Linked DNA regions of Arabidopsis thaliana. The protein of the gene in region 1 interacts with the protein of each later gene in a pairwise test. Each region holds a gene or a part of one and is shown on either strand. Other genes may lie near its edges. The genes, in order: AT2G36580 and ISPF.

Region 1 (17,470 bases):
CCGTTATTGTATGTTGTAAAACCAAATAAAAACAAAAATATTACCGATATATAGAAATCAAACTTTATTCACGAATCTATTCATGACTCATTAGAGTTGATCCGTCTAATTTACTAACTTGAATACATTTGCTTACCTAATCCATGTATAAAAAGAATCTAAAACCATAACTCCAACTCATCAAGAACTCGATCGAGTTGAACTGAACAAAATCTGTTCTTAAAGAGTTTCATTATACATTTTTTGCGTGGATTAAAAATTTATATAAATATTCGAATTCCGTTGTGGTGAATTGAAGAGAAATGTTATTATACTTTGACTAAAGGATGATATTAAAAATCTAAAATCATAATTTTTAAAAACAAAAAGTTTTTTTTTTTCTACAACAACAAATGAAATAGAAAGTATGCATATGTTATATATTTACCTCTCCTTTATTAACTGTGAAGCTATGCGGCGTGAAGTCCCCTCCTCCAAGCCTCATAGACATGTCACCTTCAATCAAATTAAAAATACACTCAAACCCATCTGAATTCTCGTAGTTTGTTTAATAACAAATATAATTCTTACATGTTTAAGTAAAAAAAAACTAAATTGTCATGTTATGTCTTTTCCTTAGATTAATTTCCCTATGCCCTAACACAAGACAAGAGAATGTAGTTTTCCAAATACTTTCCACTGATTGATGAACCCTAGATTCATATTTTCTAATGGTTATTCTTTCTTAAGACATAGCAGATTTAGTTTTGTCCCATCGCCAATAACGAAACTCAAATAGTTATATTATCGTATTACATATTATTAGTTTTATTGTAAGAGACCAAAGCTTTACCTCTCCTCTTCCTCAACGATGACCTCGGCGTAAATGTCCCAGATGCTGTGATAAACCTCCCTTTATAATCACGATACGTCTTCGGCCTTTCTCTCTTCCTGCTCGCGTCGTTGACACCCTCCACCACCGTGGCTGGTGCCGCTTCGGCAGTCTTGGTGACCGGAAAGGGAGAGATGGGCGTTGAGTTCGCGTCGTTGACACCCTCCACCACAGTGGCTGGTGCCGCTACGGCAGTCTTGGTGACCGGAAAGGGAGTGATGCAGGGCGTTGAGTTCGACATTGACAAGGAAATGATGCTCTCGTTTTGATCCAGATAGAGACTGGAAATGAGAGGCAATACGAGAGAAGTAGAGGTAGAGTTTGTGATTTTATGAAGTCTTTTTACTGGTCACGGAATAATTAGGGGAATTAAGGATTGTTTGGAAAACTTTTCTTTTCTTTTTACCGTTTCCTAATTAATATGTGGCTGTCCCAATTAATAGAAAATATATAAATTAAATTTTGAAGTTTCACTGTGTATGTATATGTTGTCTGTACATACAGAGATAATATAAGAAGGTAAACAAAATCGATATTTTGTCTATCTATGTAAAATTTAGTTTTTCTTTTCTGTAGATGTTATCTATAGATATGGATAATAAGAAAGAAAACTTTTTTTATATATAATTAATTTCATATTAAAAAGAACTTAGTTTAGATTTTCGCTTAAAACTTTATGATTCTAGTTATTAACCATTGTTAACGGTTTAAATACCGTTATTTTGTAATGCTAGCTAGTGACCGTTGTAAATGGTTTTTATAACGTTTAAAACTTATAATTCTATTTTAGATGTGTTGGAAAGACTAGTAATTTCAACATTTTCATATTTTTTTAGTGATTTGTAACAGACTTCTAAAATGAACAAACTTACTTATATACAAATGAATATTATATTATATAATAATATAAACAATTAGACCTTATATTAATATAATTTATATTCAATGGATATTAAGTTTCAAATATCAAATAATTTAGATTAAAATGCAAAAAAGAACAAAAAAGTCATGATTTGAATTTGGCCGAATTAAATCATTTCAATGTAGCTGTCTTTTAAAAATGTTATTTTTTTGTTTTTAATGGAAACAGTAATTAAGTGTTACATAGAAAGTATTTTATTTTGACTAACATACAATGCTAAGACAGATTTGTTTTAGTATACGATAATTATATATTTTAAAAGTAAAAGTTGGGAATTTGAATTGGCTTGGCCAGTTATACCACTAAAAAACAAATTTCTTAAATGGAAAACGCCAGCGGGAAGCAAAGAACACGAGTCAAACCTTTATAGTTTTTTCCACTTCTAGATATTATATAATTAAAGTACAAATGGAAAGAAATATAGATTTTGACCAATTTAAAATAAGTTCACGGAATTTGTTTTTGATGTTCAGAAAGAAAGAAAATTATGTATATTTGGAAAACATCAACGGAAAAAAAAGTAGTATTTGCTAAAACAAAATCTACAACAATTGCAAATCATCAAGTCCGGTAATTTTTTTTTATTTTTGTATTTTTCTTCAGTCAAACCGATGATGTGTTGTAACGTAAATGGCATCTTTTTCCAAACTCAGATTCTTTTTTTTTGTGTTGATAACATTATAATTTCGACCACTTTAAGCCCAAGGCCTAAGGCCCAACTGTATAGCATAACGTTTACCGTCAATGCTTGGGCCAACATAATAAAACCAAGCGCGCACACACACATCAAGCCGACACATTCGGAAAGACTAAAAGAGCGACCCAAAGGGAACTGTGTTTTTTTTTTTTTTTTTTCTTTCTTTCAAAGAGAAGCAACGAACATTATCAATTCAATATGTTGTTATCTCCCTGTTTAAAGTTTCAGGTTGATTCAAGTTCTTCGTAGCAGAGAATTAGATCAAACGTAATCTACGTGAAATGCAAATGCATGGCCACATCGTAGCAGAATACAACATCACTACATGAGTCGTTCCTTCTCCAATGTTTAACAAAATATTCAACAAGTATACAAAGCTGACACTCTAGTCAAAAATTTGTAATGGTTATAGTCGTAGTTGTTACTTGTATGTATATTACTTAGTAAATCAAACATTCTTAAGATAGTTGTTTTAAGTAGAATACAAAAACAACCTAAAACTGTAAATTTTTTGTTTAAACTTTGGTAGTATGAAGGTGTAAAAACTTTAGTAAATTTTATTCAAAAGATAAAAAAACTTTGGTAAATTTTCTGATTAGCATTTGAATGGAAAAAGGGGATGGGAATCACAACGCCAATTGCGCATTTCTTTCCTCCTTTTATAATTTACATTTTAAATTGGTTAAAGGGGTCTCGAAAATGTCGGGTTGGTAAAAAATAAGAGTGAGATTAGCTACAAGAAAGCTGACTTTGTTTTTCAAGCAAATCATCAACTGTCGCGTCGTACCAATCATGGATCCACCATGTTATTTGTTATTTTTTTGTCGGCACACTAGTGTTAATTTGAATTATTTGATATATTAATAGCAGAAATAAAATACTTCTTACTTGAAGAGCTTAAACATATTTTCATTACCCGAGAATGTTGGTTTATCAAATGTGTATATTAGTGGAAATGACAAATACGAGTCCAATAGTTAACGTAATAACTACCCTTCTTTTGGGGTTCAAAAGAACTAATTATGTTGTTTGGAGATTTCGGGAATACGAGATCGAAAAATCTATCTTATTTGGATTTGCTTTGATTCATTCTTAGTGTAAAAACCAAAAGGAAAGCTAACCTGTTATAAATTTTGATTTACTCAATATCTAAACAGAAAAGCAATTTGCACAAGTAACTTTAACTAATCTTGTAACAAAAAGACACAAGTTAAAGCAATGATATACTGTGGATACCTTTTTCAAACATTGGGTAAACTTTTTGGGCGTAGGGTTATGTTCACCCACACTATGGAGTGGAAAACAGCAATCATTCACACAACCACCACCATTCCTACTTTTTGTGCGTAGGGTTATGTTCAGAAATATGATTTACCATTATCTCCTTTTTTACATCTATCAAAGTATATTATTAACTGATTAATGGAAATTTCAGTTGATATTACTCGATAACCTTATGTCATTACTCAGTTCAATCCTTATGTTATATATGCAATTTTAACATAGAACGTACATTATTCTTCATGAGTTCTGTTCCTAATCAGTGCTATGTACGTAACTTTTGTTTTTACTTTGTTCAGTTTTTGTTTTGTCTCTTTTTTTCTTGACTATGACACTGCATTCAAAAACATAAGAAAACAGATTAAAGAAAAGAGAAAAAAGATAAAATTGAAAGATTCGTTTTTCTCAAATTTCAATAAAAAGAAAGATACATTTCTCTCTTCACACTTCACTCTTCTCTTTCCCGCCTCTCCGCCATGGCTGCTAAACCTCTTCTTCTTCCTCTTCTCCTCCTTCTTCATCTCTCAATCACCTTAGCTCAAAACGACACAAATGCTCTCACACTCTTCCGTCTCCAAACCGACACACACGGCAACCTCGCCGGAAACTGGACCGGCTCCGACGCTTGTACCTCCTCATGGCAAGGCGTTTCTTGCTCACCATCTTCACACCGCGTCACTGAACTATCTCTCCCTTCCCTCTCCTTACGAGGACCATTAACCTCTCTCTCCTCCTTAGACCAACTTCGTCTTCTTGACCTCCACGATAACAGACTCAACGGCACCGTTTCACCACTCACAAACTGTAAAAACCTCAGACTCGTTTATCTCGCCGGTAACGATCTCTCCGGTGAGATTCCTAAAGAGATATCCTTTCTTAAACGGATGATACGTCTTGATCTCTCTGATAACAATATCCGTGGAGTTATACCAAGAGAGATTCTCGGGTTTACCCGGGTTTTAACGATCCGGATCCAGAACAATGAGTTAACGGGTCGGATCCCGGATTTTTCTCAGATGAAGTCACTTCTTGAATTGAATGTTTCCTTCAATGAGTTGCACGGAAACGTCTCCGACGGCGTGGTGAAGAAATTTGGAGACTTGAGCTTTTCCGGTAACGAAGGATTATGCGGGTCGGATCCTTTACCGGTTTGTACTATCACAAACGACCCGGAATCTTCTAACACTGATCAGATTGTTCCGTCGAATCCTACTTCGATTCCGCATTCTCCGGTTAGCGTTAGAGAACCGGAAATTCACAGTCATAGAGGGATTAAACCGGGAATAATCGCTGCGGTTATCGGTGGTTGCGTGGCGGTTATTGTTTTAGTATCTTTTGGTTTTGCTTTCTGTTGTGGAAGATTAGACCGTAACGGCGAAAGATCAAAATCCGGAAGTGTAGAGACTGGTTTCGTCGGAGGAGGAGAAGGGAAGAGACGAAGCAGTTACGGAGAAGGAGGAGAGAGTGATGCGACGTCGGCGACAGATAGGAGCAGACTTGTGTTTTTCGAGAGGAGGAAACAGTTTGAGCTTGATGATTTGTTGAAAGCATCTGCGGAGATGCTTGGGAAAGGGAGTTTAGGGACGGTGTACAAGGCGGTGTTAGACGACGGCTCAACGACTGTGGCGGTGAAGCGGCTTAAAGACGCGAATCCATGTCCGAGGAAAGAGTTTGAGCAGTATATGGAGATTATTGGTAGGCTTAAACACCAAAACGTTGTTAAGCTAAGAGCTTATTACTATGCTAAAGAAGAGAAGCTCTTGGTTTATGAGTATCTTCCTAATGGAAGCTTGCACTCTCTTCTTCATGGTAAAACTCTCTTCTCTAAGCTTTGATTATCAAACTGAAAATGCTCTGTTTTGCTTAGTGACAAAAGTGTTGATTTTTACTACATTATCGGCCAAAGTTATGATTTTTTTATTGGTGGTTTTAGGGAATCGAGGACCAGGACGGATTCCATTGGATTGGACGACGAGGATTAGTCTAATGTTAGGAGCAGCGAGAGGATTAGCGAAGATTCACGACGAGTATAGCATCTCAAAGATACCACACGGCAATATCAAATCCTCTAATGTTCTATTGGACAGAAACGGCGTCGCGCTAATAGCTGATTTCGGTTTATCACTTTTGCTAAACCCGGTTCACGCTATCGCTCGGTTAGGAGGATACCGTGCGCCGGAACAGTCGGAGATCAAACGTCTCTCTCAGAAAGCTGACGTGTACAGTTTTGGTGTGTTGCTTCTCGAGGTTTTAACAGGAAAAGCACCCTCGATATTCCCGTCTCCGTCTAGACCTAGATCAGCGGCGTCGGTGGCTGTGGAGGAAGAGGAAGAAGCGGTGGTTGATTTACCGAAGTGGGTTAGATCGGTGGTGAAGGAGGAATGGACGGCAGAGGTTTTTGATCCGGAGCTTTTGAGGTATAAGAACATAGAGGAGGAGATGGTGGCAATGCTTCATATCGGTTTAGCTTGCGTTGTGCCTCAGCCGGAGAAGAGGCCGACGATGGCGGAAGTTGTTAAGATGGTTGAGGAGATTAGAGTTGAGCAATCTCCGGTCGGTGAGGATTTTGATGAGTCACGAAACTCAATGTCTCCGTCGTTGGCTACCACCGACGGCTAAGTTTGGTTTCTGTCTGTCGATGTTGTAGAATACGTATCGTTTGGACCTTGTCGATTTTTAAGGTTCTTGCTTAGAATCCCTGATTTGCGAACTTGTCGGAGTTTTTTTAGCCATGTTTTGTGTTTTCACTGTTTGTGATCGTAACGGGGTTGTGTGGTTTTGTGGATTTATGAAGCCGTTTCAATAATAAAACCCCATTTGTTACTCTTTAAAGCCCATTAGGCCCATATGTTTTAGATGAATTATTTTGCAATTGCTGCTATTTAATTATAGAACCTAAAACTCGAACGCCCATTGATTAGTGCTTCTAGAACGGTGGATGCTTCTGTGTCCACTGGTAATTGTCTTTTTGGTTGAAGAGTCAGCCCTTCGGATTTGACCTTTCGTGTACCTTTTAAGCCCATTGATTATGATTGGCAGATTAAGTAAATTAACGAATGGTCAAGCACATGATTAGCCAAATCATGACAAATAAATGGATTCCTTTTTCATTTCTGGAAGCGGAATCTTGTCTAACAATTTTTTTAATTGATAGTAATATTTTATGTTATGGGTTTCTGATAGTTGAAGACTTGAAATGTTGAACTTAAAAGTGAAATTACGCTTTCATAATTTCATTAAGCCATGATGGCAAGTTTTTTTTTTGGGTTGAGGTCAACAAGAGCAAGTTTAATGGTATCGAATAGTGCGTAACTGAAATAAAACTTGTTGAAAAATCATTCATTCACTATTCCTCGGCGCGTGAGGCCAATTTGACCCCTTCCCCCACGAAATTAAACTTGGGGAGTACTAAAAGTCTAAACCAGCAACGTCGCTTTTCATGTGCCTTAATCACACCCTTTTCTGCCACGTGTACGATCTGGGACCGTCGTTGTGCTCATTGACATTTGTAGATCCCTTTCTAGATGTTCATTAAAATTACTTAATTTATATCCAGTCCTTCTACTTTTAGTTTTTTGATACTTTAATCCCTGTTGTTTTAATGATACTTCATTCAGTATCCATCCAAAATCAAATTAAATCCATAGATTAAGATGTACATTTTTGAAAATAATAAATGGTTTATTATAATATGTTACTAAATTTATGGTATTTTTCGCTCTTGTATTGACTTTTACATGGATACATTAATTTTAATCTTCTTTGATTTCTGTTAATTTTCTTTGAATTCATTTTATACATTTATTAGTGAACTATTCTAAAAATTAACAAAATCATTTAAACCGACAAAAAAAACTTTAAAAGATCAGCGTATTATAAACCAACGGGGGATAGTTTGCATTAGGTATTGGACATCTGGGGGGTAAATAGAGCGAAACAAAAGTTGAGGCTTGTTTTTCAACATTTTCATTTTATTGTGTGCTATTTAAACTGCGTCGTATTTGGAGGCATATTCGCCGGTCAAGCGTATCAAATACCCAATCACGCGAACTTTTCTCCGCCTCTTCTCCACTCCAAAATTCTTCTCCGTCTTTCTCCCGTCACCGTCGAATAAAGCCTGAGATCTCCGAATTCTGATCAGCAACTATGCATTCAAGTCATCTCCTTCTCGAGGAACCGATCAGGATGACTTCAATCCTCGAACCTTCTAAATCAGTGAGCTATTTATTTCTCCTTCTCTCGCTCTGTGTGTTTTCTGTGGTTGTTTTGATTTCCTTAGCTCGTTGTTGATTATCGATTACGTTTGGATCTGTTGCGATATTTCATCCATTTTGAAGCAGTGAGAGATTTGTTTCGTTTGTCGTGGTTTTTGATCCGCTTGATGTTATTTCGCAGAGTTTCTTCCCGGCTTTGACTAAGATTGTTGGGACTCTAGGTCCGAAATCTCGATCCGTCGAGGTGATTGCTGGTTGTCTCAAAGCTGGAATGTCCGGTAATTGCGATTACTTCACTATTTGATACGTGATTCGCCTGGGGTTCTCTTTACTGGTTACTGATGTGTCGTTCTTTTTGCAGTGGCTCGATTCGATTTCTCTTGGTGCGATGCTGATTATCACCAGGAGACGCTGGAGAATCTGAAGATAGCTGTGAAGAGCACTAAGAAGCTTTGTGCTGTATGTTTTCTCTTTTCTTTGGTTTTGCTCTGCTGGATCTTATTTGGTAATGCTTAATACCATGAATTAAGATTGTGGTTTATGGCTTTTCCAGGTTATGCTAGACACTGTAGGACCTGAGTTGCAAGTTATTAACAAGACTGAGAAAGCTATTTCTCTTAAAGCTGATGGCCTTGTAACTTTGACTCCGAGTCAAGATCAAGAAGCCTCCTCTGAAGTCCTTCCCATTAATTTTGATGGGTTAGCGAAGGTTTCTATATATAACCCTTACCGTTTATTTTTTGGGAGAAGATGATTATTGCTTCGTGTCTATAGGGTTTGATGGATGTTATTGTTTGATGTATTCAGGCGGTTAAGAAAGGAGACACTATCTTTGTTGGACAATACCTCTTCACTGGTAGTGAAACAACTTCAGTTTGGCTTGAGGTATAAAAGAATTTTGCTTATGGAACCACTCTACACTGTTCTCTGGAATTCAAATTTAGACTTTAGATGTTTTTTTTGTGAGAAGACTAACCATTTAAACAAACCTTCAGGTTGAAGAAGTTAAAGGAGATGATGTCATTTGTATTTCAAGGAATGCTGCTACTCTGGGTGGTCCGTTATTCACATTGCACGTCTCTCAAGTTCACATTGATATGCCAACCCTAACTGAGAAGGATAAGGAGGTAAGTGTTGCTTATAATTTACATATCTCAGTGACTGCTTTGCTCTGTCTCTAGTAATATTCTAGCTTATCTGTTCGAGTGCTTTAACTATTTTGTTCTGTTTTGGTTCTCTTCTAGGTTATAAGTACATGGGGAGTTCAGAATAAGATCGACTTTCTCTCATTATCTTATTGTCGACATGCAGAAGATGTTCGCCAGGTCCATATTCTTTTTCATAATATATTTTTTCCACCTTAGAAGTATGGCTACTTCGTTTGGGTTCTTTACTCACTACTAATTCTGAGCTTCTGATACGCTTGAATTATCATTTTTGTGCCACAACACAGGCCCGTGAGTTGCTTAACAGTTGTGGTGACCTCTCTCAAACACAAATATTTGCGAAGATTGAGAATGAAGAGGTAAGTGAAATGCATTTATTTTGCCTTTACATGTTTCCTCTGCAACTTTTCTGTGATGGTGCTGTACTGCTGTTTATATTTACCGATGTGTATTTGATTTTAGGGACTAACCCACTTTGACGAAATTCTACAAGAAGCAGATGGCATTATTCTTTCTCGTGGGAATTTGGGTATCGATCTACCTCCGGAAAAGGTATGATGTTGGTCAGTCAAATCAATACGTTTGGGTCCAAACCCCTACGCACTTTCTATGTAGATTGGTGTGTGACTGTGTGTCTTATTAGACGATTAGTGATTTTCTGGAACGAAGTACTAAGTTGACCGAAAAACTTGTAGGTGTTTTTGTTCCAAAAGGCTGCTCTTTACAAGTGTAACATGGCTGGAAAGCCTGCCGTTCTTACTCGTGTTGTAGACAGTATGACAGACAATCTGCGGCCAACTCGTGCAGAGGCAACTGATGTTGCTAATGCTGTTTTAGATGGTATACTTAGTTTCTGAAATATGTATTTTGTACTGCTTATAATTTATAGGAGGGAATACATATTTGTGGATCATAGTTTTGGTCATAACTTTAAGAGGGTTTCTTTCCTTTCGCTTCCTGCAGGAAGTGATGCAATTCTTCTTGGTGCTGAGACTCTTCGTGGATTGTACCCTGTTGAAACCATATCAACTGTTGGTAGAATCTGTTGTGAGGTAGGCTTTATCGTACTGTTCTAAAGTATTATTATTTCCATCACCTTCTTAGTATCTCAATCATCTTAGCCATGGTTTGTCATCTGATTTCTCTTATGCATTGATTACTTGTTTATAGGCAGAGAAAGTTTTCAACCAAGATTTGTTCTTTAAGAAGACTGTCAAGTATGTTGGAGAACCAATGACTCACTTGGAATCTATTGCTTCTTCTGCTGTGAGCCTCTCTTTTGTGTTACCTATGTAACTTAAAAGCTGACAAGTTGCCTTTCAAGTTTTCTAACTTAATGGCTTAAATTCTGCTTGATATCAGGTACGGGCAGCAATCAAGGTTAAGGCATCCGTAATTATATGCTTCACCTCGTCTGGCAGAGCAGCAAGGTTCACACCATTCCTTCCAACTTAAACTGTTCGTACATTTAAATTCTAATGTAGCTGTCTAATAAATGTTTTATCCATATCGTGAAAGGTTGATTGCCAAATACCGTCCAACTATGCCCGTTCTCTCTGTTGTCATTCCCCGACTTACGACAAATCAGCTGAAGTGGAGCTTTAGCGGAGCCTTTGAGGTAAACTTTCATCCTGATTGTGTGAATTTTGAAAAAGAATTGGGATTTTCTAATGCCACTTGTCAAGATTCAATGATTATGGTTGTTACTTGCTTATGACTGCATATACTATTTGGCAATTGTCCCCATGATGCAAAGGAATAACAACTCTTAAATGTGCTTTATAATTGAAGATAAAAAAGAAAGTTACCCTTTGGAATAATGTCACCTCTTATAGATTTCTATGTATGACTAGAAAAGCTTTTGTCATATCTGAATTGCATATATGGACTTTCTTTTGATTATTGCTCAAACTTAACATCGTGTTTGTGCCTATTGTTGTCTCAGGCAAGGCAGTCACTTATTGTCAGAGGTCTTTTCCCCATGCTTGCTGATCCTCGTCACCCTGTAAGTCTCTATTGCATAGAATTTGATTCATTGCAAAAAGATTCTTGCTTGCAAATTTAGTGCTATAGTTGCAATTGTAACTTTAGTGGGGTTTGAAACCGTATTTTCTCTAATGTATTGTGAATCCTCTTGTTCAGGCGGAATCAACAAGTGCAACAAATGAGTCGGTTCTTAAAGTGGCTCTAGACCATGGGAAGCAAGCCGGAGTGATCAAGTCACATGACAGAGTTGTGGTCTGTCAGAAAGTGGGAGATGCGTCCGTGGTCAAAATCATCGAGCTAGAGGATTAGAAGAAGCAGAGTGAGTCGTTGTCTCGGTCTTTTTTGTTCTGTTACTAATCAATTTTATTTCCTTCACTAAAACTCTTGGTGCCGTCCAAGAAAAATCCTTGCAATCATTGTTTCTCGCCGGCTATATGCTAGATACCGGAGTGAAAATATATCTCCTGGGCTTTTGTTTTCGTATTTAGGAGATTGATGTTTCCAAGTTATGATATAAACCACTTTCCACTTTATGCATAATATCTCCATCCCCTAGTAACCATAGTTCTATATACATTGTTTTATTGAAAATTAATTTTATTGATAAGAAATCCAACTAAGAATAAATACGATGAGTATATATTATGAATTACAAATCTGCAAAAACGTGGAAGTTTTTGGAGTCAAGGGCGATGAGCCTAAGAGCTGCAATGGCGGCAGCAACAGACATCAAACTGAAGAAGACAACGTTGAGCCAATGGCATAGCTTTTGCAAAGTATTGAGCTTATTGTTCTTAGCCTTATAGTACATGTGGTTGGCTAGAATGAATGTAAGGGGGAATGTGCTCACTGCACCAGTGAGGCTCATGAAGTCCCCAAGGAACGGCAAGAGTGCTGAGAGAAGCGTACTAACTGCTATGTACCCGCCTCTTGCCATGATCCTAAACAACAAGTTCTTTAATGCCAATGGGTTTCCTTTGATCCCAAACTTGGTGTCCATGTACTCATATGTTGGACTTGCAAAAATCTACAAAAATTGAGTAAGAACGGATTGACTAACACATAATTCTTTTCTCGAAGAGAAACTTACGTGCAACGAGATAACGGATTGAAGGATAGCGGAGATGTTAGCAAGGGCTTTAACCCAAAGTGGACCATTAACGTTGTTTAGTAGATAGGGCGAGGTCGAGGATCCGTAAGCCCAATACCCGATGAATACAACCGCAAACATCGGTAAAACACCCACCGTGAATTGAAAGTATAGAGCCTTCATCATGTTTTTTACTACTGGTTGCTTTACTGTTGCCTATCAATATCATGACGGAAAAAGCAGTGTAGATTAGAAGGATTGTCAAGCAGTGTAGTAAAATACACACACTAAACCTTTGAAGCCTAAAACATGAAGCTAAAAATCTCGAAAAAAAAGAAATCACCTGAATTTCTGGAAGCATCCCTGTGTTGAATACGAAAACTAGTGTAGCGGCTGCTCCAGTGATGGTAAAAAGTTTGCTTAGTGGTGATCCTTGTATCTCGTAATCTCTTGAAGGTGCTTTAACTCCTACAAAAGCAAAAATATAAGGGAAGTATCTGAATTGTCAGAAGCTATAAAATCCATAAGTAATGGCTAACGCCTGATCATTACATAAGTTATACCATCTTTAACCGATAGCACGATTGCCACAACGATATAGATGAGGCTGAGGATAGTCGAAACCGCAAGCCATATCCCAAGAGCCGACAAATGAGGAATTCCAATAGCAAAAACCGCACAAATCAGACCCGCAATAGCTATAAAATGAGGTAACTTCATGGCATGATCATCCCTAAAAAGCACATAAACAGCCTGCAGAAAACAGAACACACCCCAAACATAACTGACTTCTGGCTCACGGAATCAAGAATCAAGAGAGAAAAATGTTTACTACGTACCTTTAAGGCGGAACCAGCTAGTATGATGAAACCACAATTAATCATGAAAAGATTGACATATTGCAACACCCATGTAAGACAATAAGCCTTTCTACCTGAAAAAGAGATAAATATTTCAGTGAAAGTAACAGAGAAGATAGAGAAAGATAAAGCAAAGAGAGCTGGTTTACCGTAAATGAATCCCGCAAGGTCTCTATAGCGAATGTGTCTTTTGCCACCAAACTCATGAAGCTTGGCTACGAGAGTGTTTGCATAGAGTGAGATTGCAGTAGCAAGAATAAGACCAACCACACCACCAATCCATCCTAAAGGAACCATGACTGTTCCTGAATATCCCAACACGTATGCGCTGTTTATACTTGTTGTCAGAACGAACGCTGCCTGAAACCATGAATCTGTATATTCCACAAAACTTACTAATTAGCTTTCCCCAATATGCGATCATATCAGCTTCTAAACAGTTCCGCTTAATATTGCAAACATGCATAAAGAAGAAGCAAATGGAATTCTTAGGTCACATTTCTTTCTTTCTTGTAAATGATTTTCATAGTTTAAAGAAAAAATAGTAATAAAGAAACTGAAATTGAGCACTAATCCAACGTTAATTAAATAGATAAATTGAGAAATCTTAAGCAGTAAAATTAATATAACAAAACAAAAAGAGGGAGAAAACGAATGACAAACCGCTGCTAATCTGATGAGCAGTGTCAGGGATTTCGATATCAACACCTTCCCCGACATTGTTTATGCGATTCTTAGAGTTCATGACCTCTCCAAATGGTTATTGTGTCTCTGTAGCTAAGAGACTTTCCCTATATAATAGATGGTCGGTAACAACGGGACAGACTATGGTGAGAAATCAAGTCCAACTAGAAGTGGCGGAGAGATTTTTAAAAGATTTTAGAAATCAGAAGTTGTTGAACAGTTTCTTTCATTATATACGAATTACGAAGCAAGCACAATTAAAATGTGGTGAATGAAGAAATTTCTTTGGAATTGAGTGGTTCAGATCTAGACACAATCATTTACTGCAAAATTGGGATAATATATGAACAAATTGTACAAATGATAGTGTTAGACTTATCACAAAACAATCCAAAACAAAAAAAACATCAACTCTGAAATGTATGTGGCTGTGAATTTGGAAAGACACTTAAATGTTTCTTTAGACCGTTGAAGTGTTGTTGGGAAATGAGTGTACGCAGCTTGATCCTTAAAGATTTTTTGGACATTTCTGCCGTCTTGTTGTTAGGCTGAATAAGACTAGATACGAAAATATGTAACGTGACACGAAAGATAATAAATAGGCCAAAAGTTTATAGTGTACTAAATTCTCTTAGAGTTTTGACTTTTTATTGTTTGATTTATTTAAAAAGTGGCCGGCCGGGACCTCTATCAACACATTTATGTTAGACCAATTTTTTGGTTGAATACTTAAAACCATTCTTTTCAAATGTGACATCACAATACGATATATCAACATCCGCTAAAACTGAAATAACACTTTTTCTTTTTTAGAGTATACATAACACTGAAATTGAAATTGAAAGCTAGCTTTAGAGATCTAATGAAGAGTTGCAACAATTTTGATCTTGTAAGAAATTAAATCAAAACTTTGTCCAAATCTATTCTTTAAGGTTATGTCCCCGTTATACACATGATTTGCCTCTGTTATTTCTAGTAATTGTATGTTAATCTTTTTCAAAGAGATTTATCGTTTTAGTATATATATAAATGTAAGTAGGTGATAGTACAAAAGCGCCCGTGGCCTAATGGATAAGGCGTTTGACTTCTAATCAAACGATTGTGGGTTCGAGTCCCACCGGGCGTGCCAATTCTATTTTTGTCCATCTATAAATCGGCCCATTGTTGACAGTGGTCGGCCCAATTATACTTCGAATGTTAGTTATTGTTTCCATTGCTGATAGATCGACAGGACGGTTTTGTATGGCGATTTCGGCAAGAGGAATGGCGATAACTGGAATCGAAGATCACAGATACTGGAATTGGATTGAAACAGAAGAATGAAGGTACAATATTTCCGAAACTCATTGAACTTAAGTAGAATTAGCAAGTAGATATCAAAGTGTTAACACAGAAGTAGATGATCAAGAGCATTGCAATACTTGGTTTGTGATCATGTTATTTGACCTGTTTTTCGTAAACTGTTGATCTTTGGCTCTCAGTTTTGTGAATCTTTTAGAACAATTCTCTCTCTGGCAGATCAAATAAGGATTGAAAGTTTCCATATGTTCCTTGTGTTAACAAAAAAAAGTATCACACCACAATTATTCCGGTTCAAAGTCCATTTTTTGCTTGTATCTCATACTATAGTTAAAAACTTGTACCATTTCATATCACCAGTCGATTCAATATGAACATGTAAAGTGGGTACAAATTGTGATTACTTAAAAAAAATGAAAATAGATAGGCTTTGACAATTGTAACTTGAAAGAAAAGGGTCTTGTTCAAACGTAAGGACCATTCTTTAAAAGGGACCATTTTAATGTTAGGGTAATTGTTAAAACGTAGTTTAAGTTGTTATTCCAATGTCTATTTTCGTATTGAATGTTGATTTCGTTTTCACGACGGGGAGACACGTGACAGTTTCGACTTAAATTACCAAAAAGGTAATAATGGCAAATGGAAAGTCAGGTTCTGTGACTTCTGCCTTCCACTTGTTGGCATTTGGCAGTGCCAAAGTACATGTCAGAAAGATGTTATTGTCAAATTTGTCTGTAAAAAGAATTCTTATACTAGATTTCACCATGCTCTCTGTTTAGCAAGTACGTAATATACTGAAAACATTAACCGTTGGTTTTGGTGTTTAACTAACATGGAATTTTGACCTATAAAGAAGGAAACAATTCTAGTGAGCTTCTTCTTTATACGAAAACATTCAGTAAATGACACAACACGCTGCTCTCTTGAGCTTTATTTCTCTGTAACTTTATACTATATGGTCCTCGTTTTTAGATTATCATAATATAGCTTTCTTCGTAGTACTATTTAGTATTTACTCACTCAATTTATCACTTCTACACTCTCTCTATTCATTGGATTGTGACAATAATAGTTACGTATCTCGATCCCAAAGTGTTGAATTCAATAGATTTTAACAGGCTTTATACCTTCAGCTTCTAACAGAGATGCTTCTTGATTTAGCTTAGAACTAGCAGATAATAAGTAGATCTCTTTGGCATCTTTGATTATCCATCATGCTCCTGATGGTTAATTATTCTGTTTATATGTAACTTTTATTGTAGTTACATTCTCATTATTGATCCCTTCCAACATTGATGATCAAATATATCTTCGATCGGGATTCAAAAGAGCCTTTAACTAATTACTCTTATCTTCTAGCGTTTGTAGGATTTTTGTTCGCTTTCATTAACATATGTGAACACGAAAAGTTAAACCAATTTTTATGATTATAATCTATTACAAATTTATTTGGTTTACATTGTTTTATTTTAAGCAAAATCATATGGGACTAGTGGCTCTTTTTCCGTTTCCCAACTTATACGTGTTTTCGATACCACATGTTATATAAAAAATATATATAATTAACAATATTTCCAAATGCTTATGAAAAATTAATAATGATTTAGATACAGTTTTGTTTCTGGTAAAGATGTATAAACTAATACACAAGGGAGAAATAAATTATTAAAAAAAAGTCAGTTTAAAAAAATTAGGATCACCGGTTAAGATTTTTTTCTTTGAAAATCTTTTATTTTTATTCAATCCAATGACTTGATACAGAAAAAATATCCCCATCTTGAAATCACATCAAAAATTGGCTGATGTAGTTGTTACGTGCTTTGGAAATGGAACAAAATATACTTATGTCAGTCACAATTAACGTTTAAACCGTAGAATTTGATTTAGAGAAACATAACTAGTGCTAGAAACTTCATCTTTATCTAACCATATAAGCATTTACCATTTCTTCAAGATAAGTTGCATCATTCAATTTCTAACTATACTTTATCGCCGGATCATACCAAAAAAACACGTAGATCGATATGATGATACTATTTTCACTAGTGCACTGTGTGCTCCCAAATTTTGTCAGGATCAGAATTGGACCCTTCTGATCTATCTGTTGGAGTAGCACCCTGCAGCTCCACAGTGTTAAATAAAGATTGTGGGGACTTTACAAATACATATACATACAAAGAGATGAAAACTGGAGGCTATATTACAGATTGAGAGTAGAAGTTTGAATTCATATATGTCAGATTGGTTGGTTAATTAAGGTAGAGAAAGTGATAGACATTTGTACAAATGTAGAATCTGGACCATTCTCTCTTTTCTTTTTCACCTCTATCTCTTACTCTTACTGTTCCTTTCTCAACTCACATTACTTTCATTTTATTTTATTCTTTTATATATACTAAA
Region 2 (15,162 bases), on another chromosome or scaffold:
AATTTATATCATCCTTGTCGTTGTTTATAGATATTTATATGCACAATAATGGATTAATAATATTCACATTTTGTCAAAAAAAAATATAAAAAAAAATAATTTATATAACGAATTAATACGATAAGATTTTTTTTTCTCGATACCATAAGAATTCTGCGTATTTGTTCCATTGTCCAATGATATTTCCACCACGTAATATGGACTATATATAGTGGTTAATTTGAACATATCATTGATCTTTTAACTCTAAGTATGAGACATTTATATGATTAAAGTGGGATATTTTTATGAATTTCGCATCCCCCTTCATTTCGTTTTCGCAAAGTTTCATTTTGAAATTTCGTTCGTCCAACCATACATCCCCTACTAAGTTATACTACCGATAATGAAACTTATAGAAATCATGAAGTCGCGTAAAATGTTGGGCATTAAATACGGATAAATGGACTTAAGCAAATTATTGTGGTTGTGGTTGTTAAGAATCTCTTTGACCGCTCGAATAATTATACATCCAAATGTAATTAACCTATGCAAACTCATGCATGCACGTGGAAGCTTCTCATTCTCATAAACCATAAAATTATGTACAAATGTAAATCAAATGTTAGTGGATCCATTTTCTTAAAATATATTTTTTCTTTTATAATTTTTATTTAGTTGATGTTTTAAGAGAATACACACTTAATAAATTATTTAATTTTTGTTTACTTTAAACTAAAATATCATTTATTATTTAATAAACCAATAGAAAAATTATCTGTGGAATAAAAATCATCAAAACCAATGAAAATATAATAAATTTTGCATTAAAATTTTAAAATATCATATATTTAAAAACAAAAATAAAAGCTTAGAACATCACTTATAAAAAACAAAGAGAGTATATAAAATTGAACTTTCCGATTCAACTTATTGTGTAAATTAAATATCTACAAAAATCAATTGATTACCACATTGAAATATAGTTATTGATAGCTTAAAACTATACAACCGCAAAACAATTACAATTTTGGCTTGTAGTTAGGCTAAATTTTTGGCTTATATATAAAATTAAAAAATAAAATAAAATATATGACACAATTAGTTCCACATGAGAAAAAAAATCATGAACTGCATGCCGGTTTCTTATAAACAAAACGGAAGACAGTGCAAATCTCAAATCCCGAAACTTGACGCGCGCCTCTCTGTCTCTCTCAATCAAATTCAAATCAAAATTTCAAAAAAGCGGAATCGGAAAAAAAATCTCAAAATGGAGGAAAGTTCAGGACTATCATCGATGAAGTTCTTCTCCGATCAACACCTCTCTTACGCTGACATTCTTCTTCCTCACGAAGTAAGTTTCGCTTCCAATTTTGAATTTATCGAATCACTAGTCTTCTTCACTGTCGAATCTCGTAGTTCTGACTGAAATCGAAGCTCGTTGTTACAGGCTCGTGCTAGAATCGAAGTTTCTGTTCTCAATCTCCTCCGAATTTTGAACTCCCCAGATCCAGCTATCTCCGATCTCTCTCTGGTACTACTTAATCTCGTGCTTAAGTCCGTTTCTTAGATCGCGTTATAGCTTTCTCGAATTCGTGATTTTCTGGGTTTTTGAAGACAATTGAAATGTATCGTTTGAACAGATCAATAGGAAGAGAAGCAATAGTTGTATAAACAAAGGGATACTCACAGATGTTTCATATATATTCCTCTCTACTTCGTTTACTAAGAGTTCATTGACGAATGCTAAAACAGCTAAAGCTTTTGTTCGTGGTAATTGCTCAATGTCTCTCTCTGTGATCTTCACCCAAATCTTTGATTAGAATGGTATGAGAAAATGGTTGTGATTTTATTGAAACAGTGTGGAAAGTTATGGAAATATGCTTTCAGATTCTGCTTCAAGAGAAACGAGTCACACAAAGAGAGCTCTTCTATAAGTTGCTTTGTGATTCACCTGATTACTTTTCATCTCAGATTGAAGTTAACAGAAGTGTCCAAGGTCAATCTAAAGCTTAATTGCATTTGGATTAAAGAGTTTTTGAGCTGATTTTTTGGTCGTGCTTTGGTTTAGCAGATGTGGTAGCACTTCTACGTTGTAGTAGATACAGTCTTGGTATTATGGCTTCAAGCAGAGGCCTTGTTGCTGGAAGGTTATTTCTACAAGTGAGTTATTACTTGCTTCTAGCAATCCTTATGTAGCTAACATTGTGATCTCTGACCATTTCTTTACTTTACACTCAGGAACCAGGTAAGGAAGCTGTAGATTGTTCGGCCTGTGGTTCTTCAGGTTTTGCTATAACTGGAGACTTGAATTTGCTAGACAATACCATCATGAGAACTGATGCTCGTTATATCATTATTGTGGAAAAGGTAGCTTCTTGATGTAATCAAGCACATATGAGAGATGTCGTAATTGTCTGTAACTCACTCCTAGAATCTGTTTTTAGCATGCGATCTTTCATCGGCTCGTGGAAGATCGTGTGTTCAATCACATTCCTTGCGTGTTCATCACAGCGAAAGGGTATCCGGATATTGCCACAAGGTCAATTCTTCAACTCAGTTACAAAACCATATTGCAATGTAGTCAGTGGTATTAAGTAGCTTGGAAGTTAAATCTTTTAGGTTTTTCCTCCACCGGATGAGCACAACTTTTCCTGATCTGCCAATTCTTGTTCTAGTTGATTGGTAAGCATAAATAAACATCTTCCTCTTTGTTAACATAAAACTTTAGTGCTCATATGTTCATAAATGAGAGGTCAGGAATCCAGCTGGGTTAGCTATACTATGCACCTTCAAGTTTGGAAGCATAGGGATGGGACTTGAAGCATACAGATACGGTAAAGACTTAGCTGTTTGCACCAAATAATCTCCAAGTCTCTACAATGATAATTTCTGCATCCTCTTTAGCTTGCAATGTGAAGTGGATTGGTCTCCGAGGAGATGATCTGAATCTGATACCAGAAGAGTCTTTGGTTCCCTTAAAGCCAAAAGATTCACAGATTGCTAAGAGCTTATTGTCCTCCAAAATATTGCAGGTAACCAACTATACATTATACATTATAAGCAGAGATCAGATGTAATGGTCAAGCCGAAGCAATTCTAAGATTCGAATCTATAATCTATCATTTATACCCTAATTGATTTTGACATTTGCTTCTGACCAGGAAAACTACATAGAGGAGTTGTCACTGATGGTTCAAACTGGTAAAAGAGCGGAAATTGAAGCTCTCTATTGTCATGGTTATAATTATCTCGGTAAATATATAGCTACCAAGATCGTGCAAGGCAAATACATATAACACTTAAAACACCAACATGTAAGGTCTTCCACCAATAAAGATGCGTTTGCTTTATATTGGTTCCAAATATAAGAGAGTAACTTATTAGGGTGAAGTTTTATGCAAACTCTAATAGAATGTAAAAATAGATTACAATCAAATCAAAATTTTCCAAACTGAAGTATGATCTTTGTTTACATATGGCATTGTGATGATTTAGTAACAAAACTTGTCCTAATCTCCACTTTCCTATGCAGGTATAATGATAATTCCAACCAAAAATTCTCGCTCACTTCTTGCTTGATACAAGACTAATCTTCTTTCCCTCCACAACAAACTTGCCACTTCGCTCCAGCTGCAACAAGGACGTTAGAACAATATCAGTAAGAATGACAAACTTTGGAACTTTGTGTAGAATATGAGAATCCCACTTTAAAATGATTATGTTTACTAACTTCACTATCACACTTCTTTAATCTCAAATATAATGAATTTCATACGCTTAATGTAGATTCTATACGAAGATTTGGCATAAAGATTAGCTAAGATTGCATTACCTTAAGTTTCAAGTAAGCAATAGCATCTTTTCTTGAAGAAAACTCTGAAAGAACTGATGGTGCTTGTTCATCGATCAGAGATTTTAGCTGTTTCAGCTTCATGAATCCACCTTTACCAGCATCCTAAGAATGTTTTTGCACATATACATATAAGTCGATATGAGTGGTGGGATGTTTTAGAAGAATACAATGACAGTTCAAAATAAATTGACAACGAACCTTTTTAACAATCTGCTTGCACAGGTTCTTTAACTTGATTTTGGGTTCAATGATTTCATCGTGCTTCCTTTTCGCGGGAAGAGAACTTTCAATTACAGAGTCCTTGTCATCATCATCTGCTTCACTCTCGTCTTCATCTTCCTCTTCGTCTTCTTCGTCATCATCATCATCATCATCATCATCATCATCACTGTTATCAAAAGAGGTTTTCTTCCCTTCGTAACGAACACCAGCTATTTTCTTTGGCCGGTCTTTGATACCCAGTCCTTGTTTTCCCGCTGTGGCTTTATCCTACAGACATTCCAAAACGTCAATATATTATTAGATCCCAACCTCTTTTCCAAGAACAGCCTGCAAAGAACATACCTGAACCATGTTGTAAAGATTCTCTTGATCATTCTCACTAAACATTTTTCTCTCGCTAGCTTTTAATTTCTTTTTGCCCGACTTGGCCCCCAGAAGACCACCCGAGACAAACCCGGATTTAAATCCCCACCAGTTCGAAGAAGGTTCTTCAATTTTCTGTTCTGTTCAGTCCAAAAGATCCATACATTTTCAGTTCAAAAAAAAGAGCAGAAAGTCACAATTTCAAGATGCAAGGACAAACTAATCACCTTTAATACTAGCATCTTGGTCCTCAGATATAATTTCAATATCCATAGAATCGGCTATGTCACAAACTGCAGGAGAAGGATCCTCAGTTCGCTTAACCTACAAAACAGTAAAATAACGTGCCTAAGTCGGACTATCACTTTCATAATGAGATTTGTTTACATAATGGTGATAGCAGAGAAAATTCTAACAACATGCACAAGTTCACAGTACATGTAGAAGTTATGATCCATTCTAATCAACATGAATCTTGATCATGAGCGGATAAAAGACAGGACAGAACTGTTTTGAAAGGAAGCTTACCAGTATTCCTTCAAGATCTTTAGACGAGTATGAATTGACAAGCTTCCCTTTCTCTCTACGTTTATACCTTCCTTGTGGACGAGTGACTTTAGCAACGGTCTTCAACTTGGCAGGCTCAGATTTGACAGCATCATCTTCACTTTCATCTTCCTTATCTGAATCTATCGTATGCCACATAAAACAACAATCATTAGGATAAATAAGCTTCTCTAAGTCAAGAAAGAACTCAACTTAATAAGAAAAACTTATACCATCATCATTCTTGCTAGTCTTGGTAGGAGCAGCTTGCTGCAAATAACACACACACATACACAAAAAGATTGAAATTATTTCAAATATTTCAAAGAGCATAGTTAAAACGAAAGATGAACACAGCCATTACCACTTTCAATTTCTTGAGAATGTTATCGAACTGAGTTGTATCAAATGCCCATGGATTTGGCTTATCAAGACCAACACCTGCTCCAACATTTTAAAAAAATTCAGACCTATAACATAAACGATAGATGCATATACACCACACAAATATACAAAAGGCTTAAAGTAGCTCTATCTTGATTCCACAACTTCACATTCACCAAATTACATAAACTAAACTATGTAAACAGACATTTCCTCCTAAAAACCGAAAATAATGTTGTTGTTTTTTAGTGTAAGTGAAAAGTAGCTCTATTAAAGTTTCCTCCAATCTAAATTCCACCGAGAAAAATTCAAATCACTAGTTTCCATTAAGGAGAAGAAGAAGAAGAAACTAACCAGATGTATCTTGTTTGTTCGTAACTCTCACATAACCTTTGATACCTTGCTTATCTTTACCAAGTCCTTCTCCTTCTTCCCAACCCTAAAAAAATCACCAATCCAAAAAATTAGGTCTTCTCCTTTATAAAATCTCTACACACATTAACATCATTACAGGAAAATTCACTCACCATCGATTTCATAAGCTTGAAAGCGGCGGAATCCTTACATATTCCGACGTACTTAACCGGAGCTTCCGGCGCCGCCATCTTCTCTTCTAATTTTCCGGCGATTGAATGGAGACAATGCGTCGCCGTTTTTCAAAAGCGGTGCGGAAGAGAAGAGTGGGCGAGGAAGTTTAGAGAAACTGGAACAGAAAACCTAAAGCGAAGAAGTGATGAGTAAAACTCCTCTACACGTGGTCTTTAGTAAACTTCAGTGGATATGTAACATGATCGACGGTCGAGAGTTTATCATATTTTAAATGGGCTTTAGGAAGGAAAGGCCCAATAAAGAAATGAATATTTCCACCACAGAATTATGAATTGAGTAAACCAGAAAATCGAAGAAGAACGGCAATGGCTACTTCTTCTACTCAGCTTCTACTGTCTTCTTCTTCTTTGTTTCACTCTCAAATTACCAAAAAGCCATTCCTTCTCCCGGCGACGAAGATCGGCGTTTGGAGACCGAAGAAGTCTCTCTCGTTATCATGTCGTCCTTCAGCCTCGGTTTCAGCTGCTTCTTCCGCCGTCGACGTCAATGAATCTGTGACTTCAGAGAAACCAACCAAAACGCTTCCGTTTCGAATCGGTCATGGTTTCGATCTACATCGTTTAGAGCCAGGGTATCCTCTGATCATCGGTGGGATTGTTATTCCTCATGATAGAGGCTGCGAAGCTCACTCCGATGGTAAACATTTCTTGAAATTCGATTTGGTTAATTCGTCTTCTTGTAGATTTTAGGGTTTTGATTTGAGTTTGATGTTGGAATTTGTGTAGGCGATGTGTTACTTCATTGTGTAGTGGATGCAATTTTGGGAGCACTAGGCCTTCCAGATATAGGTCAGATTTTCCCTGACTCTGATCCTAAATGGAAAGGAGCTGCTTCTTCTGTATTCATCAAAGAAGCTGTAAGATTTCGACGCTTACCTTGATGTTCAATTTTGTGTGTATGTTCCAGTATTAGCTACTTCTTCTTTAAGCCTTATTTTGTGTGTGGTACTTTATAGAATGGTTCAGAATTCAAGCTAGATCCATAAGTTGATGGGATTTACTCAGCTTAATAATACTCTTGAGTAAATTATTTTCATCTATAGGAAGTCGAAGAAATATGGAAATCAGATCTTATCCCTGAACTGTTGTCATCACTCAACGATGCTATCTATAAGCTTATCACTCTTGTATACATGATTTTTGTCTTGAAAAGCCTTGGCATAACTCAATTTTCTGTTGAATTTTAGGTTCCTGCATCTTTGTATTGTTAGATTTCAACACATATGATTGATGATAAGTAGAGGTACTCAAGGTTGAAGCTATAAAGTTTCTTTCTTGTCCTGTCTTTTAAGTTATGGGTTCACATTTGGCGTAATGTGTTTGTTAAGTTCACCATGATTGACTGTGAATGTTGATTGCGTGGAAGCTAATCTGAATCACTTGTAATGATGTTATATAGATATAACAGAAGAAATGTTAGATTCTCGTCGGTATGAAGAATGATTCAATAAACTTGAGACGAGGTTTATTTGACTTTGTGTTTCAGGTGAGACTCATGGACGAGGCAGGGTATGAGATAGGAAACCTAGACGCGACGTTGATTCTCCAGAGACCAAAAATTAGTCCACACAAAGAGACAATCCGATCCAATCTGTCCAAGCTTCTTGGAGCAGATCCTTCTGTAGTGAACTTGAAAGCCAAAACACATGAGAAAGTTGATAGCCTCGGAGAAAACAGAAGCATAGCAGCTCACACTGTTATTCTCCTCATGAAGAAATAGAAGTCAAAATTGATTTTAGCTCTTTATCATATTCCTTAAAGTGTCTCATCTTTTAAGAAAAACATACTTTTGATTGTAAAGTGTAATCATCCTTTAAAGGTTAATTAATCGAATCGTTTCGTAGAAGCAGAGAAAATCGAATCATATTTTGTTGATGATTCATTGTGATTCCTAGTTCCTTGGTCAGATTTGAATATAATTGGAAACTGTGTCTTGGACTGCAAGTTCCTTGTGACACAATTTTTTATTTGTCTGTCATATAGTTGTTGCTTTCCTTGTCTACATGAATTCTTAAATCAAAATCAGAGAATAATAATATCATACTGAAATAAATACATCAATGATCAGAGAATAATCCTTACCCGTCAATATAAAATCAACTTCTGACTAATCAGAGACTTAACATACTGCAAATCTTAAGAGATTATACAGCCGTGATCATGATCGCACACAATAGTAGTGTGATGATGCATTGGACAAACCGGAGTGTCATGGTGAGACTGAGACCGGTAAAGAGCTTCTTCACGTTCACGTTCACGTTCACGTTCATTTTCTTCTTTCTTCTTCTTTTCCGCAGCTGCAGCGGTTTCCGCTTCCTTCTTCGGATCGAACGGGCCAAATGTAGCCATTTTCGCACTCTCCCATCTCTTTTTGAGTTTTTTGAGAATCTGCATTTCGTCAAACTCACCAATCACCGTTAACTTCCCTTCTTTTGAATCCATGGTAATAGTTGTAATTCCTGGAATAAAAAGTGTTAAGATTTAGGTCTTGAGACTAAGGAAGATCTTTTCAAGGTGGTAGGTTCTTTTGAGATTTCAATTCATAATCCATAAAGAAAACCAAAAACAGAACGTATTATTATTATTCAAAGCTTTGCAGCAAAAGCTCATTAACAAGAAGAAACTTAAACTTAAACTCACACTCAAACTCAATAATGAGTGATTAAAAGATTTGGTTTTTCACTAAATAATCATGAACGAGACAAGAAAAATCAAAATCATTATTTAAGGGATCATATCATAACCCATGAAGAATCACATAAATAGAGTCTGTGTGTGTAATCGAAAAATCTTTGCCTTTTCAATTTAAAACGCATGAACAGAACAAAAAAAAGTTTTGAGGGTTTCAAATCAAAACTCATCAAAAATCTCAAGAACAGGGGAATGTGAGTAACGAAAAGCTTTGCTTTTTCATTAAAAACTCATGAATATTACTACATAAATCAATTTCAAGTTTTGAGGTTTTTAATTCAAACCCTTAAATGATCCAAAAAGCAGAGTGAATGTTAAAAGCAAAAGCTTTTGGCTTTTCACTAAAAGAACAGAAGAATTAGATCCATCGTTGGAGATAGTCTTAACAGCAATCATTTTTGTAGGGTTTCAATTCAAAACGACAGAACCTACAACGAATCTCAAAACCAGAGAGTTTGTGTAATGAAAAGCTTTGGCTTTTCAATAAAATCACATGAGCAATAAAAAGAAGAAAAAAATTGGTGCATGTTCACCTGAACAGCTAGCTACTGTTTGGATGACTTTCTCCTTAGACCTCTCGTCGCAAACATTTATCATCACCACCATTTTCTGTAGAGAAAGTGTGATTAGAAGAAGAACAACCATTAATCAAAATACTCCAAAGTCTATAAAAATTCAAAAGACTCATTTTTCAGTACTTTGAAAACCAAATGACACATTACCTTCATTTTCTTTGTAGAACAGAGAAGAAGATGTGGTCCACAGTAAAAAGTTGGTGTGCTTTTTTTATTCGTGTAAGCAAGTCGATGATGCTTTATGTCCCAAATAACAAACCGCCACATTAAATGGATTCAGAGAAGAAAAAAAACATAATGTTGGAATATCATAGTGTTTTGTGATTTAAATTTTTTTTAGAAAAATGTTTTCTTCAGTAAAAAACAAGAGTGTGGATTTCACTTGTGAGAAATGGCTTATGGATGTTTTCAACTGTACTTGTTATTTTCTCCTGTGGTTCTTTGGAAATTTCTTCTCTTTAATGGTCCCATGATGAGTGTCCGTCGATTATTGATCGTTACTATATCCAGTAATTTCCATTTCAAAAGTTTTTATATTGTCAAAGATTCTTCCAAGGTCCCTTTTTATGGTAAGTTCATGTTCATCATATGGTTTTGTTCATCATGATCAATTGTTTTTAGTACCAACCGCCAACATCCATATTTTGTTTGCATTTTGTACTTCTTCTCCAATAAACAACGAGAAATAGATCATGAAAAATCCCCGAAAATCATATTTCAATTTGTGTTATGTGGCTAGCCAGACACGTCATTTATTTCTTAGCTCCAAATGTTATATTGTCCTAATTTTTCTTTTTGGCATATGTTTATTGATATTATTTTGCTTTATAATTCATTTGCACCACAATATTCCGTTTTTTTTTTTATGTGCGTTAAGACCGAAATGAAAGCATTTGAGTAAGCATTGAGTAATTTCCACGCACACTTTATGCAAGTTATTTCACTCGCGATCACAAGAAAACCATGTCGATTTTACCAAAAGAAAACAAAAAACCATGTGGAAGATATCTCTTAAATTGTTCATGAAAACTCTATCTTAATGGTCCTCTGTTAGTTCTTTTTTTAATGTCGACTTATGCTTCAAGAAACCATGTGAAAGTCTCTAAATTAACAAAAGTATGTGTGTTTTCTAGAAAATCAAACCACTTATAAAATCATTTGTAAAGGATAATTTGTAATTTCTGAAGTTCGCTTGTTTAGTATTAATCCCTTGAATATGTTATCCGTCACATCAAAGAAACTGTGTTTTCATAATTTTTGGTCTTTGAGTTTAACCTATTAGCAAAACTTCACATGGTAGTTAAAATTTGTCATCATTAATATTGTTTTAAGATTAGAAAGGACTCTCATCTATAACGAGTGGATCCCACGCGCAAATTCTTGTGGAACATTTCTGAGTTATGTGGCTTACCAAACAAATCATTAAGTTCTTAGTTCCAAATCTTCTACTGTCCTAATTTTTCTTTTTGGCTTAAATTTAGAATTGATACTATTTTGCTTTATAATTCGATTTCACCACAATATTTCCTTTCTTTTTCTCATTATCTCACAAATTCAAACATATTTAGCTGTCTTTTTGTAATTGCTTTTATAATAATAAATTAGTTACTTGACTCAAGAAAAACAAATACTCCAATTACTCAAGCGAACACAGCTAAAAAGCCTAAAATAAAGGTCAAATAAAAGCATCCACGATCAAACTCTACAATTCATCCTTACTCATAAAATGTCTTTATACATTAATTAATATGAACTATAAATCAAACAAATCGAAATAGTTAAAGTACCTTATGTCTTTTTATTCATTTTTCTTTAGAACTCTAGCAAATGACACAACCTTGCTCCTCCTTATCATTGAAAATATCACGAATTTCACGGTTGTATCTGTAAAGAGCTTCACGTTCAATCTCTTCCCTCTTCTGCTTAGCCTCAGCAATTTTTGCTTCTTTCAAAGCATCATAAGGTACATATAATGTTAATTTAGCTTTTCCCCATTTCTTTCTGAGGTTTCTAACCAACTCCACAGGATCAACATCTCCCATTACTACTAGTGTGCCTTCTTTCAAATCCATATAAGATGAGTGAATTCCTGAAAACAAAATATTAAAGATATGGGCTCTGAAGTTTGGGAAACTCTGTAAAACTGAGCTTTTCTTATGTAAAGTAAAAAACAGAGCGTAAAAGATTAAATGTTTGTTTTTTTGATAAAATAAATCAAACTTTTTTTAATATAACAAAGATCAAATGTTTGTTTATCTTTTCTAAAACTCTTACGAAAATAAGTTTTAATAGGATATGATTTACCGGGTAAGTCAGAAATACTCTTCGTGATTTTCCCTTTGGATCTCTGATCATAAACACCCATCCACACAATCATTTTCTGCAGAAATTGCATGAGAATACAAACTATAAATTAAAAACACTCGAACTGTGTATAAATTAAAAGATTGTTTTTTTTTTTTGGTTTGAAAACCATTAAAAAATTACCTTCATTTTTAAGAGAACAGAGCAGAAGATGGAAGAAGAAAATGAAAATGTCGATTATTCCAAAATGCTAACAAGTCTATGCTTTATATACCAAAAAATGAAAGCAACATGAATTGATTTTATTTTATTTTTGTATGCAAAAACATGAATTGATTTGGAAAGGAAAATAAACAAGCGATAGTTCTAAAAAAGGAAAGCTCTGATACGATATACCACACGCGCCATACACAAACATAAAAATTGTTTTCTTCAGTGGAGAAAAACGAACGTGGAGTTCACTCGCGACAAGTGCGTCTGGTTTTTCATCTTTCACTTTACTTTTGTTGGTCTTACTTTGGTTCTTAGTCAAAGTGGTGAAATGCTGATGATGCACTGACGGTCGATAATTACTAATTGTTTCTAACTTTTTTTTTATTAGTCATATACCAATTTCAAATTTGTTATTAGTGAAAGAGTCATTCAATGCCTTTTTCTGTTATTGGATTTGGCATCAATTGTTTTTTTTAGTTTTACCAACATTACACGTTTGTTTGCATTTTGCAATATTTCACCCATTAAAAACCGAGGGTGTTGTTTTTGCAAAACAATGGTCTCTTGTGTTAATCCAAGAATGATGTCATATTAAAATATAGATCGAGTTAGAGAAGAGTTTATAACAGTTTTGACATCTTGGCCGAATGATTTCCCCTATCAATGATGAACCTTGGCTATCATAGATATTTACCAACCACAAGGTTCTGCAGAATCACGATTTTTTTAGTTTGTTATTCCCACCATTCCGCAAATTTATACGATTTTGCAACATTCATAACCAATCATAAAAGCCCAACCTATCATAGATTCATAACCACTTTGACACTTTCTCAATTGTAGAACTCATAGGCAGTAAATAAATTTCTATGGCGTATGAAACGCGTTTAGGCTACAAAAACCTTTTTACATGTCGCAATCAATCCCACAAGACTCTATTACGTGCCGCAAAACAAATCCTTGCGTGAATTATAACAAAGTCTTCATTATTGTTTATACAAATTTCGTTTATGGTTTACAGTCGATAAAAGAAATCTAAATAAATAAATATTTTAATGATCCACGAAACAACCCATAGATCATGAGAAAACGATCTTTATCTATCTCAGTGACTAACATAGATTTTATTAGAAACAAAGCTCTCTAATGAGCAAAATATGATTATCCCAAAAAGAGGTTATAAATTATTCGAGGAGATTATTGACAACAGTGCTCTCTATAGATCATTTTTCCAATGGAAAGATGAATAACTCTCACCGGGAATAAAAGATGTTGATTTCTCTGAACCCAAAAGCTATTAAAAAAACTCCATGAAGTTTCCTTCTCTAACTCTGTAGAGCGGCTTGAGCAATCTCGAGAGCTTCTTCGACTGAAGATGCGCTTGCGAGTTTAGCCTTATCGACAAGTGGTTGGCTTCTTGCTAGCTTTGGTAGAAGCTGGAACTCCTGTTTCAAGAGATATACATAACAATGGAAGCAATTAAAATCCATATAGTTAACATATTTACATGAAAACAAAACCCATGCTGATGTAATTGCTATTGTCAAGTTTCAATGACCGTTCCAAAATATTCTAATTTTAGTCTCGCAGATCTAAAGAAGCATGATGCTCTAAAGATTGGCTAATTCAGAATGTTAACGAGGGAGATGCTAAGAAAGACTCTTACCTCAGGCGATCCGCTTTCTACTAGAACACCTTTCAACCTGCCTGTGTTACGATAATTACTCATCAAAGTTAGTTAATTTGCTAAGCTGTGTATTTGTGCAAGGTTAACTGAAGTGAGAAAAGGCTGAAGGAATTATTTACCAGATTCAATCCAGAAGGTAGCGATTTTCGGGTCAAAGTTCCCAACCTCCACTGTTTCTCCCACTGGCCAGTATGAATCAGTGGTTTAGCTACAGTGGAAATATTGTTTGAGTAATTGGATGGCGTCATATTTAGGTCAAATAGATTTACCATTATCTCCGAAAAACTGCCACCACACTTTTCTTGGGCTTCCTTCATACTCGAATACTCTTGAGTAGAAATATGGAAGATAATCGTACCTGCAAATATTGAGCAAGACAAGAACTAATAGGTGAATATCCGTTAAGGGATACAGGCAAAGTCTACAGATCTTTCCAGGGAAGAAGCTTACGTGTCAGTGTGTGCCGTGAGTAGTGATTTCACACAGTGTTGTGCAGAGCGGCGGGCGTGATCAACATGTTCAACTCGAGTCATCCTATCATATATCTGGTCATCAGACAATAAGATGATGAGTTTGCACTTCACGAGATAATTGATGGCTTAACATATATTATCTAGCAGCAAAGTACCTTCAAAGGGAAGGCTGCGACATCTCCAATAGCAAAAATTCCAGGGGTACTTGTCCTGAACAAGCCATCGACCTGTGGTTGAAGATGAGCTCTTATCAAACTTTTAATTGTATCAACATACTGATGTAGTTTCTTGTGAAGTTCTAACTCTGAAAACCGATTATCTTGGAAAATAAATCCGGATGTTTTGTAATAATAATACCTGAATTCCTCCAATTGATTTGTTCATGGCCAAAGTTTCAAAGGGGCCAATAGCAGGCTTAGCTCCAATTCCAATTACAACCTGTAAAGTAAGGATACACAGGTCGTACAAAAGTCAGTATTACATTGACCCTTCACAGTTTTCATTTGATCAAAGTTGTTGAATTTGCATCATTTGAGAAAGAAAAAAGTGAAGCTGAGCTACAACTATACCGTGTCTGCCTCAATTGTAGACCCATCAGCAAGCTTAACAGCTGATACACGCCCATCCGAACCTGCTTCCAAGTTATTTATGGAAGCGCCCTGTTCAACAGAAAGAGAAATTCAAGTTTGCACACTGTGTTTCTGAAATTCTTAGGTTTGCAGGAAAGCAAAGGCTTCAGTATAAGGTGTTGATCGTGTGCTGATATCTTACCTTGACAAACTTAACACCATTTTGACGGTACAGTTCTTCATATTTCTGAGCAAGCGATGGAGTGAACAATCTTTGCAAAAGCTGATCTTCAGGGAATACAATCTATTGTTCCACATGGGAAAGCCCAAAAGCAACTGTAAGTTAGTACATCTGTTCCACAATTTATCTGAACGTTTCTAGGAATTTGTTTAACTCATCGAATGATTAGAAGTATTCTTCATTTCTAGCACAATTTAAAAATTCAAGTGAAAGGGATAATAACCGTTGTATCTAGATTCCACGCAACAGCTGCAGCAGCAACCTCCATGCCGATGTAGCCACCACCAACAATGACAATTTTCTTTGCCTTTCCCTGTATCACATATTGGAAGGTTATTTTGTAGCCAGGAAATTTGGATTTTTCTGATGACGCATATTACAACATTGCATTAAGATGACAAAACTGGTAACTGGTAAAAATGCCCTTAGCTTACCAGAGATGCTATCAGTG

Evidence for each region.
Region 2: the proteins of AT2G36580 (region 1) and ISPF interact in a two-hybrid assay, tested with the Arabidopsis thaliana proteins (one large-scale study listed by BioGRID).

What each region holds. Positions count from the first base shown.
Region 1 is NC_003071.7:15,331,336-15,348,805, forward strand, and holds AT2G36580 (Pyruvate kinase family protein), read left to right. Parts: upstream 1-7,786; 5' UTR 7,787-7,917; coding exon 7,918-7,986; intron 7,987-8,166; coding exon 8,167-8,263; intron 8,264-8,346; coding exon 8,347-8,444; intron 8,445-8,538; coding exon 8,539-8,694; intron 8,695-8,792; coding exon 8,793-8,870; intron 8,871-8,980; coding exon 8,981-9,112; intron 9,113-9,229; coding exon 9,230-9,310; intron 9,311-9,438; coding exon 9,439-9,510; intron 9,511-9,613; coding exon 9,614-9,703; intron 9,704-9,846; coding exon 9,847-9,991; intron 9,992-10,114; coding exon 10,115-10,203; intron 10,204-10,321; coding exon 10,322-10,417; intron 10,418-10,513; coding exon 10,514-10,581; intron 10,582-10,669; coding exon 10,670-10,769; intron 10,770-11,096; coding exon 11,097-11,156; intron 11,157-11,293; coding exon 11,294-11,446; 3' UTR 11,447-11,751; downstream 11,752-17,470. Other genes in the region: AT2G36560 (AT hook motif DNA-binding family protein), read right to left, coding at 428-495, 833-1,112; AT2G36570 (Leucine-rich repeat protein kinase family protein), read left to right, coding at 4,248-5,580, 5,705-6,390; ProT3 (proline transporter 3), read right to left, coding at 11,787-12,164, 12,228-12,443, 12,571-12,695, 12,791-12,980, 13,067-13,161, 13,237-13,461, 13,751-13,832.
Region 2 is NC_003070.9:23,731,439-23,746,600, reverse strand, and holds ISPF (isoprenoid F), read left to right. Parts: upstream 1-6,216; 5' UTR 6,217-6,264; coding exon 6,265-6,595; intron 6,596-6,684; coding exon 6,685-6,815; coding exon of another isoform or gene 6,816-6,839; exon of another isoform or gene 6,840-6,853; intron 6,854-7,444; coding exon 7,445-7,678; 3' UTR 7,679-7,928; downstream 7,929-15,162. Other genes in the region: SPO11-2 (sporulation 11-2), read left to right, coding at 1,250-1,333, 1,430-1,513, 1,623-1,752, 1,841-1,978, 2,054-2,142, 2,221-2,349, 2,427-2,521, 2,602-2,664 and 3 more; AT1G63980 (D111/G-patch domain-containing protein), read right to left, coding at 3,547-3,612, 3,815-3,937, 4,034-4,324, 4,400-4,560, 4,648-4,744, 4,949-5,109, 5,200-5,236, 5,331-5,407 and 2 more; AT1G63960 (Copper transport protein family), read right to left, coding at 8,095-8,417, 9,183-9,294; AT1G63950 (Heavy metal transport/detoxification superfamily protein), read right to left, coding at 11,045-11,313, 11,529-11,604, 11,712-11,717; MDAR6 (monodehydroascorbate reductase 6), read right to left, coding at 13,067-13,186, 13,408-13,448, 13,548-13,610, 13,698-13,786, 13,879-13,973, 14,057-14,128, 14,259-14,339, 14,471-14,560 and 3 more. UniProt on the Arabidopsis thaliana protein: Enzyme of the plastid non-mevalonate pathway for isoprenoid biosynthesis that converts 4-diphosphocytidyl-2C-methyl-D-erythritol 2-phosphate into 2C-methyl-D-erythritol 2,4-cyclodiphosphate and CMP. Is essential for chloroplast development.